2 linked regions of the Sus scrofa genome follow. The protein of the gene in region 2 purifies or fractionates together with the protein of the main gene of each other region. This does not show direct contact. Links are inferred from orthologs where the notes say so. Each region holds a gene or a part of one and is shown on either strand. Other genes may lie near its edges. The genes, in order: SMC4 and NCAPD3.

Region 1 (3,819 bases), on a different chromosome or scaffold from region 2:
AGGAGTTCCCATTGTGGCTCAGAAGGTTAAGAACCTGACTATTATCCATGAAGATGCAGTTCTGATCCCTGGCCTCACTCAGTGGGTTAAAGATATGGCATTGCCTCGATTTGCAATATAGGTCATAGACACTGGTCAGATCTCACATTGTTGTGGTGTAGGCCAGCAGTTGCAGCAGCTCCGATTCGACCTCTAGCCTGGGAATTTCCACATGCCAAAGATGCAGCCCTTTAAAAAAAAACAAAAAAAACCAAAAAAAAAAACACAACAAAAAAAACCTCACAAGCACACAAACCGCCCCCCTCCACCAACCATAACCAAAACATTTGGCACTTTCATTCATTTTTTTGCCTTCTCTTAGGGCGGAATGTGCAGCATATGAAAGCTCCTGGCTAGGGGTCGAATGGGAGCTGTAGCTACTGGCCTACGCCACAGCCACATCAATGCAGGATCCAAGTCACGTCTTTTAATCTCACCACAGCTCATGGCAATGCTAGATCCTTAATCCACTGAGTGAGGCCAGGGATCTAACCCACATCCTCATTGTTGCTAGTCAGGTTCGTCACTGCTAAGGCGCAATGGGGCTTCCCACTTGGCACTTTAAATTCTGGATAGATTATAAATACCCACCTTATCCAAACCTATAAAGGTTGCAACTCCAATATTTTGTCTTTTTAGGAAGTTTACACATTCTTGGGCTGTATCAATAGAATCAACAACAATGTAGTCTAATGCATGACAACAGGATGAAATGGCAACATCATATTTTTCATCAATTGCTCCTAAGTCCCCCTAATAAGAGAAAGGGAAGGAAAAGGAAAAAAAAAAAGCAAAAAAAAAAAAGCACAATCAGCAAGGTATTAGGCATAGGATCATTTTATTACTATTCATATAGTTTTCAGGTTGCATTTAATTAAAGAACTATACCTACATATGGTTTTACAAAGAACAAAATGAGTATATAACAACAAATTTAAGTGTTCCTCACATTCAACCTTCCCCTTCGGCAGAGGCAATCATTACTAGAATTTTTAATTTACCTTTTAAAGAAGTTTATGGGGAGTTCCCGTCGTGGCGCAGTGGTTAACGAATCCGACTAGGAACCAGGAGGTTGTGGGTTCGATCCCTGCCCTTGCTCAGTGGGTTAACGATCCGGCATTGCCGTGAGCTGTGGTGTAGGTTGCAGACACGGCTCGGATCCCGAGTTGCTGTGGCTCTGGCATAGGCTAGCAGCTACAGCTCTGATTTGACCCCTAGCCTGGGAACCTCCACATGCCGTGGGAGCGGCCCAAGAAATAGCAAAAAGACCAAAAAAAAAAAAAAAAAAAAAAAAAAAAAGAAGTTTATGGGAGTTCCCTTTGTGGCTCAGCAGGTTAAGAACCCAACACAGTGTCTGTGATGATGTAGATTTGATCCCTGCCTCAATCAGTGGGTTAAGGATCCAGTTTTGCAAGCTGCAGCATAGGTTGCAGATGTAACTTGGAGCTGGTGTTGCCAGGGCCGTGGTGTAGGCTTACAGCTGCAGCTCTGATTTGACCCCATGGCCAGGAATTTCCATATGCCACGTGTGGGTATAAAATGGAAAAAGAAAAAGAAAAAGAAAAAAAAAAAGTTTATGGATATAGAGTTTGAATATTTAATGAGCATAAAATGAGAGAACTGTTTTTGTTTTATGTAACTGAAAATGTACCATGTGAAGACTTGAAACCTAAAAAGAACTATAAACAAGGAGTTTCTGCTGTGCTGCAGTGGGTTAAGGATCTGGCGTTGCCACAGTTCTGCCTTGGATTTTTTCTTTTTTTTTTTGTCTTTTTGCCTTTTCTAGGGCCGCTCCTGCAGCATATGGAGGTTCCCAGGCTAGGGGTCCAATCGGAGCTGTAGCCACCGGCCTACGCCAGAGCCACAGCAACGCGGGATCTGAGCTGAATCTGCCACCTACACCACAGCTCATGGCAACACCAGATTCTTAACCCACTGAGCAAGGCCAGGGATCGAACCAGCAACCTCATGGTTCCTAGTCGGATTCATTAATCACTGAGCCACGAGGGAAACTCCAGTTCTGGCTTGGATTTGATTCCTAGCCTGGGAACTTCCATATGCTGCAGGTGCAGCTGAGGGGGGAAAAATACTATAAAGCAAAATAACTTCAGAATAAGAACAAATTATTGGAAGTCATCTAAGATTATGTCTATTAATAAATCAGCTATCAAGGAGCATTAACCAATTAGCTTCATTTTTGCCTTGAGAGCAAATGAATATGATCAAATTGTGTTATCTTCAAAAAGTAAAGTGGAAGTCACCTGACATGCAGATCTGAAAGCAACTATGGTGGGTAATTTTCATTTGCCCTTTTGAATCTCTCTATTCTGCTTCCTTCTCTGGGAGGCTGACTCAGAGACTGCATTAATTGGCTCCTCTGTCTCTCTAGCTTTAGACAATGTGAGGCACCAGCTAGAAATGGCAGGGTAGATGAATGGTGTTGAAATATTTATCTCCCCCGTTTCCTCCCAGCAACCCTCCAGCCAGGGCCACAGCTCCCTTCCTACTTCAGGATTATGAATTCAGGCTTTAGGTCCTATCACCCTTGATTTCCCTAAACTCTAGCCACAGCCTTCAGTAAAATGATATAAAATCCAGAATTTAATTTATCAAATTTTTTTTTCAAAAAAAAGGAAAAAAGTAGTTTTGTGAAGTTTGTCACTAGAATCAGGTCATTTTCTTAAAATGACCATAATTATCCAAAACCAAAAAAACTAGTTCAATTTTCTTTTATTTAACTATTAATATTCTTCATCTTTCCTTTATCAAATAACAACAGTAAATTGAAAAGAGAAAAAAGTAAGAGTTGAATACAAGCGAAATCATCCATGAGCATAAAATAGTTTTACTTCAAAGCTGTATTTCCAACCTAGGTACATTTATAACTCATTTCACCTTATTTTAGCCTTTATCCATCCTCACCTGCATGAAATAGTTTCTCCATGGAAGAGATAATTTTGCATAATATTCAGACTGATGACTTATTTTAAGATATGCTATTGTGTCTCTTACTACAAAATCAATATATATTGTTATACATTTAATAACCATGAACAAGACGAAAAAACCATTTTTAACATGAAGAATCCATTCCACAACGGTTTTTTCATGATTGAGTAGAAAAGCAAAATGCTTAAAAGTGAATGTCTTTTATTTATTCTTTTTTTTTTTTTTTTTTGTCATTTAGGGCTGCACCCAAGGCATACGGAGGTTCCCAGGCTAGGGGTCCAATCGAACTGTAGCCACGGGCCTGTGTCAGAGCCACAGCAATGTGGGATCTAAGCCACGTCTACAGCCTATACCTATACCATCGCTCATGGTAATGCCGGATTCTTAACCCACACCGAGTGAGGCCAGGGATCAAACCCACGACCTCATGGATGCTAGTCGGGTTTGCTAACTGCTGAGTCACGATGGGAACTCCTGAAAGTAAATGTTATTATTTTGCATAAAGAGACTCAACGTGCAGCTCAAGTAAAGTAAGAAAATTATTTACAATGTCTTTGAGAAAGACGTATAGTTATTTACACATAAATTTACTTTACCAATCTTCCATATATTCCTGGAATCCTGCCAGTTTTTTTTTCTTGAATTATTGCATCAAGGACTTTCCCCCTACTTCGATTCATTGCTAAGGAACTCTTTGCTTCTTCAACTTTTTGGAAAAGATCACGAACCAAACTTTTGAAATTAATTTCTTCCTGTGTAAGTTTCTGAAGTTCTTTCTCTTTCTAAACATGAAAAATAAAGAAAATGAATCCCAGAAGCATACACCCTATC
Region 2 (3,819 bases):
CATTTCCAAGGAACTTTGTAAACCGTACACTCTTATTTCACACAAAGCGATCCTGTCTTAATTCCGAGTTCTTCTTGCAGTTTCTGCACTTGGAGGGAAGTCTGAACTCCTGCTAACACTGGCTGGCTTCTGCTCTGACAGGTGACCAAAGGCAAACACTGCTCTTCATTGCTCCGTGTGAAGGAGCAGAAGTGTCGACAAATGTGGTCAGTGGCAGGTTAGTCAATGGTTGACCTGGGCGAGGGCTTTTTTTTCCTTTTTCTTTGTCTTTTTAGGGCTGCACCTGCAGCATATGGAGGTTCCCAGGCTAGGGGTCTAATCGGAGCTGAAGCTGACAGCCTATGCCACAGCCACAGCAACATGGGATCTGAGCCACGTCTGCGACCTACACCACAGCTCATGGTAACGCCAGATCTTTAACCCACTGAGCAAGGCCAAGGATCGAACCTACGTCCTCATCAATGCTAGTTGGGTTCATTAACCGCTGAGCCATCACAGGAACTACCAGGCTTTTTTCTTTTTAAACTTACAAGCAAACTAAAGCTTTATTATATAGCTTAGTATTTTAAAAATCACTAAATCGTACATAAACAACTCGCTTTTAAAGAAAAGAGATCTTTGCCAGAAATTAGGCCAATTGCTGGGCTGTCTGGCATAAGGGAAAAGGCTTACCTGGCAATAGCCAAGTCTGGGTCTACCAGTGTGCTGACAAACCGGAAGAACAGGGGGCCCTTCCACTTCACGAAGTCCTCCTGCATGAGAGAAGGCATCATGGGGGCTTCAACATGCAGCCCCTCTGTTTCCAGGGCCATCTGCACTCACCCCACCCACCCCAAGAGCACAGGGCTGTGGGAGAAAAGGACTCAGAGCTCCTGCCCTGCAGGAAGAGGGTCAGAGGCACCCTTGTGATGTGCACACCATAGGAGACAGTGAGGGCCCAGAACAGACACAAATCACTTAAATACCTTCTGATCAAATAGTATTTCCCCTCATGTGGACACATCTCCCAGGCTCTCAGAGCATGTCTTTGGGGATGCCGGGGCAAGGGTAAGGGTCCTCACTGTACAAATGATGATGTTCCATCTGGGAACACGGACCCTTCAAAGAATGGGAACTAGACCTACTTGTCTATGTAAACTTTTCTCTATGTGCTGAGTATTTGTAAAAATACCATTTCACCCTGCAAGACTGGGTCTCTGAACAAACACCCAAAAGGAATATTAGGAAGTAAGAATCTACTTAAAAGTCTGTTCAGAACACTGGAAGAGTGGTATCTGAAAGTGCAGTTGAGGCTCCTGTGACTCTACTACACAGCCACCTTCGGCGCTGCCCAGGTACCCCTGGGCCAGGAGCAGGCCGGTGGGGGCAAGACCACCTGCGCACCTGCAGCAGGTCAGTGAGCAAGAGCAGCGTCTGCCTGCGGATGAACGGCTCTGAGTCCTTCAGACACGCAGAGATGTTGGGGATGTACTTGTCCACCATGGCCGTGTACCGCTTGCAGAGATCACACATGGTGATGACGACGTTGTTGCGGACGGCCATGTCGCTGCACACCTCCAGCTCACGCACCAGGGCTGGGATGCTCCTCTTGGCGAGATCCTCATGCTGTAAGCACAGCTTTCCTGCCACCAAGAGAGGGATACCCTGATTCTTTATTCTATGCCTTCTCTCCAGCTGTAACCTGCTTTGGATATTATTTCATCAAAGTCAAAACATCGACAATCACAAAAAATCAAAGGCAGACATAACTCAAACAAAACAGTAAGAAGTTCAAAATACCACCTGCCCAACCCAGGGTGTCCTGAGATGGACACTCTGAGATGTTCCTTTACTGCAGTAAAGTCACCAGCGCTTGAGTTTTGGAGCTAATTACCTGGAAAATGACCGATAAAACCCATGATACATTTTACATCTCTCTCTTTTTTTTTTTAACGGTTGCACCTGCAGCATATGGAAGTTTCGAGCTAGGGGTCAAATTGGAGCTATAGCTGGGGCCTACTCCACAGCCACAGCAATGGCAGATCTTTAACCCACTGAGCGAGGCCAGAGATCAAACCTGCATTCTCATGGACACTATGTTGGGTTCTTAACCTGCTGAGCCACAATGGGCAACTCCACATTTTACTTTAGATTATACTTATAGTTGATAGAAGCTAAGAAATTGAAGAATGAACTTGAAATGTGAGTGAGTCAAATACACAATCATGTCATTTATCACACCTTTTTTTCTTTTATTGCCTGGGGAATGTTTTCCTCTTATTTACAATTCTTAGATTTTTGAAAAAAAAAATTACTACAAAAAGATTTGTAACTCATACCAAGAATAAAATATAGTCACAAGAAATTGAAGGAGTTTCCTGGTGGCTCAGCAAGTTAAGGATCAGGCATTGTCTGCTGTGGATCAGGTTGCAGCTGTGGTATGGGTTTGATCCCTGACCCTAGAATTTCTGCATGTTGTGGGCACAGCCTCCCCCCCAAAAAAATCAAAATTCAAATTATTGCATAGATGTCAGTCTTCTCAAGATAAACAACCATATGAATTCATGGAAAGCATCAGACTATCTCTTTATAAAGTGACCTGCAAATTTATTTCTTCATTCCTAGAACTCAGTGCAGTACCTGGCATACAGATCTTCATGAATAGGCCTCAGGGTGTTATTGCAAGTATAAAAAAAGTCACAGGAACAGGTTTAAAGGTAATAAATAGAGAGTGTACTGCAGATCTGGGTGCTTCTATAGTTGCCTCCTGAGCTCAGGGGCTTTTTAAATCACTGGCTTATTTAAGACAAAACCACATGTGGAGGTGGCTGCCCCAGGTCTCCTTACTCACCCAAGGCAATGACGGCATGTGCTCTGATCACGGAGGGCATGATGGAGCTGTGGATCCCTGGGAGGGGTTGGGAGGCTGTGGCCTCACTGCCGCCTGGATCTGAGGCTGGCACTGTAGGAGGGAAGGAGGTTTACTGCTCTACTCCGGGGGCTAACCCAGCCTGCAGGCAGCAGGTGCAAAGGGTAGGCAGGTGCCTTACAGTGGTCCGTGCTGGGAGAAGCAGCCAGGATGGACTGGATCAGCAGGAAGGCTCTCTTGTCCACTCTAGCTGGACAGAGCTGGGCTACGTCTCCTAAGGTGAAAATGTACTTCACCTGCAGAGAGAATTGGTTCTGCAGTAAGAATAAGGCAAGAGAAAAATGAACTCTAGCAAGATTAAGGCCATGTCAGTGAAGTACTTGTACCTTTTTTTGTCCCATATTAAATGACTGTTTCCCCCCATAAAAATACAAGGCCATTGTAAAAATTCATCCAAAATCAGGGTGATATACAGTTTTATCATCTATGTCTAGATACTCCTTCCAGTCAAAGGGGTGCTGCTCACAACTGCACCGCAATAAAGTGAATCACAGTGTTTTCAGGTAAGTGGGGACACAGAACAGCCACTAACTGCAGATACCGTCCTTGATTTTGTTTGACTTTCTTTTCTAAGTCACAGTCATAGTTCCAGGGCTTCACTTTGCTCTTCTCACATACTCACCAATCACATGAGGGTGAAGTCTGTGATTCTTTAGTATCAGCATCCTTTCATGTTGATATGTAAGATAAATAGGTTCAATGACTACATAAGCATGCTAAACCTCACACTGACCTAACCCTCTCCTGACCTAACACCACTGCCCCTGGAGAGCTGAGCAGGCTGGGAGGGCACATGATCTGTGGCAGCTCCGAAACCCACTTTCAGGTCATTGTCCTGATGAGCTCAATAGTTAGACTCCCACCAAAACTGAGGAGAACCTGCCTCCTCAATCCACCACTACCATGTTCTC

The links.
Region 1: the proteins of NCAPD3 (region 2) and SMC4 purify together in Homo sapiens (co-immunoprecipitation; 3 studies listed by BioGRID and IntAct, with this or other methods). This does not show direct contact. The link is inferred for Sus scrofa from reciprocal best matches to the Homo sapiens genes NCAPD3 and SMC4.

Annotation. Positions count from the first base shown.
Region 1 is NC_010455.5:100,102,133-100,105,951, reverse strand, and holds part of SMC4 (structural maintenance of chromosomes protein 4), read right to left. Parts: intron 3,771-3,819; coding exon 3,585-3,770; intron 793-3,584; coding exon 631-792; intron 1-630. UniProt on the Homo sapiens protein: Central component of the condensin complex, a complex required for conversion of interphase chromatin into mitotic-like condense chromosomes.
Region 2 is NC_010451.4:60,733,335-60,737,153, forward strand, and holds part of NCAPD3 (condensin-2 complex subunit D3), read right to left. Parts: intron 3,145-3,819; coding exon 3,030-3,144; intron 2,942-3,029; coding exon 2,831-2,941; intron 1,623-2,830; coding exon 1,384-1,622; intron 753-1,383; coding exon 673-752; intron 1-672.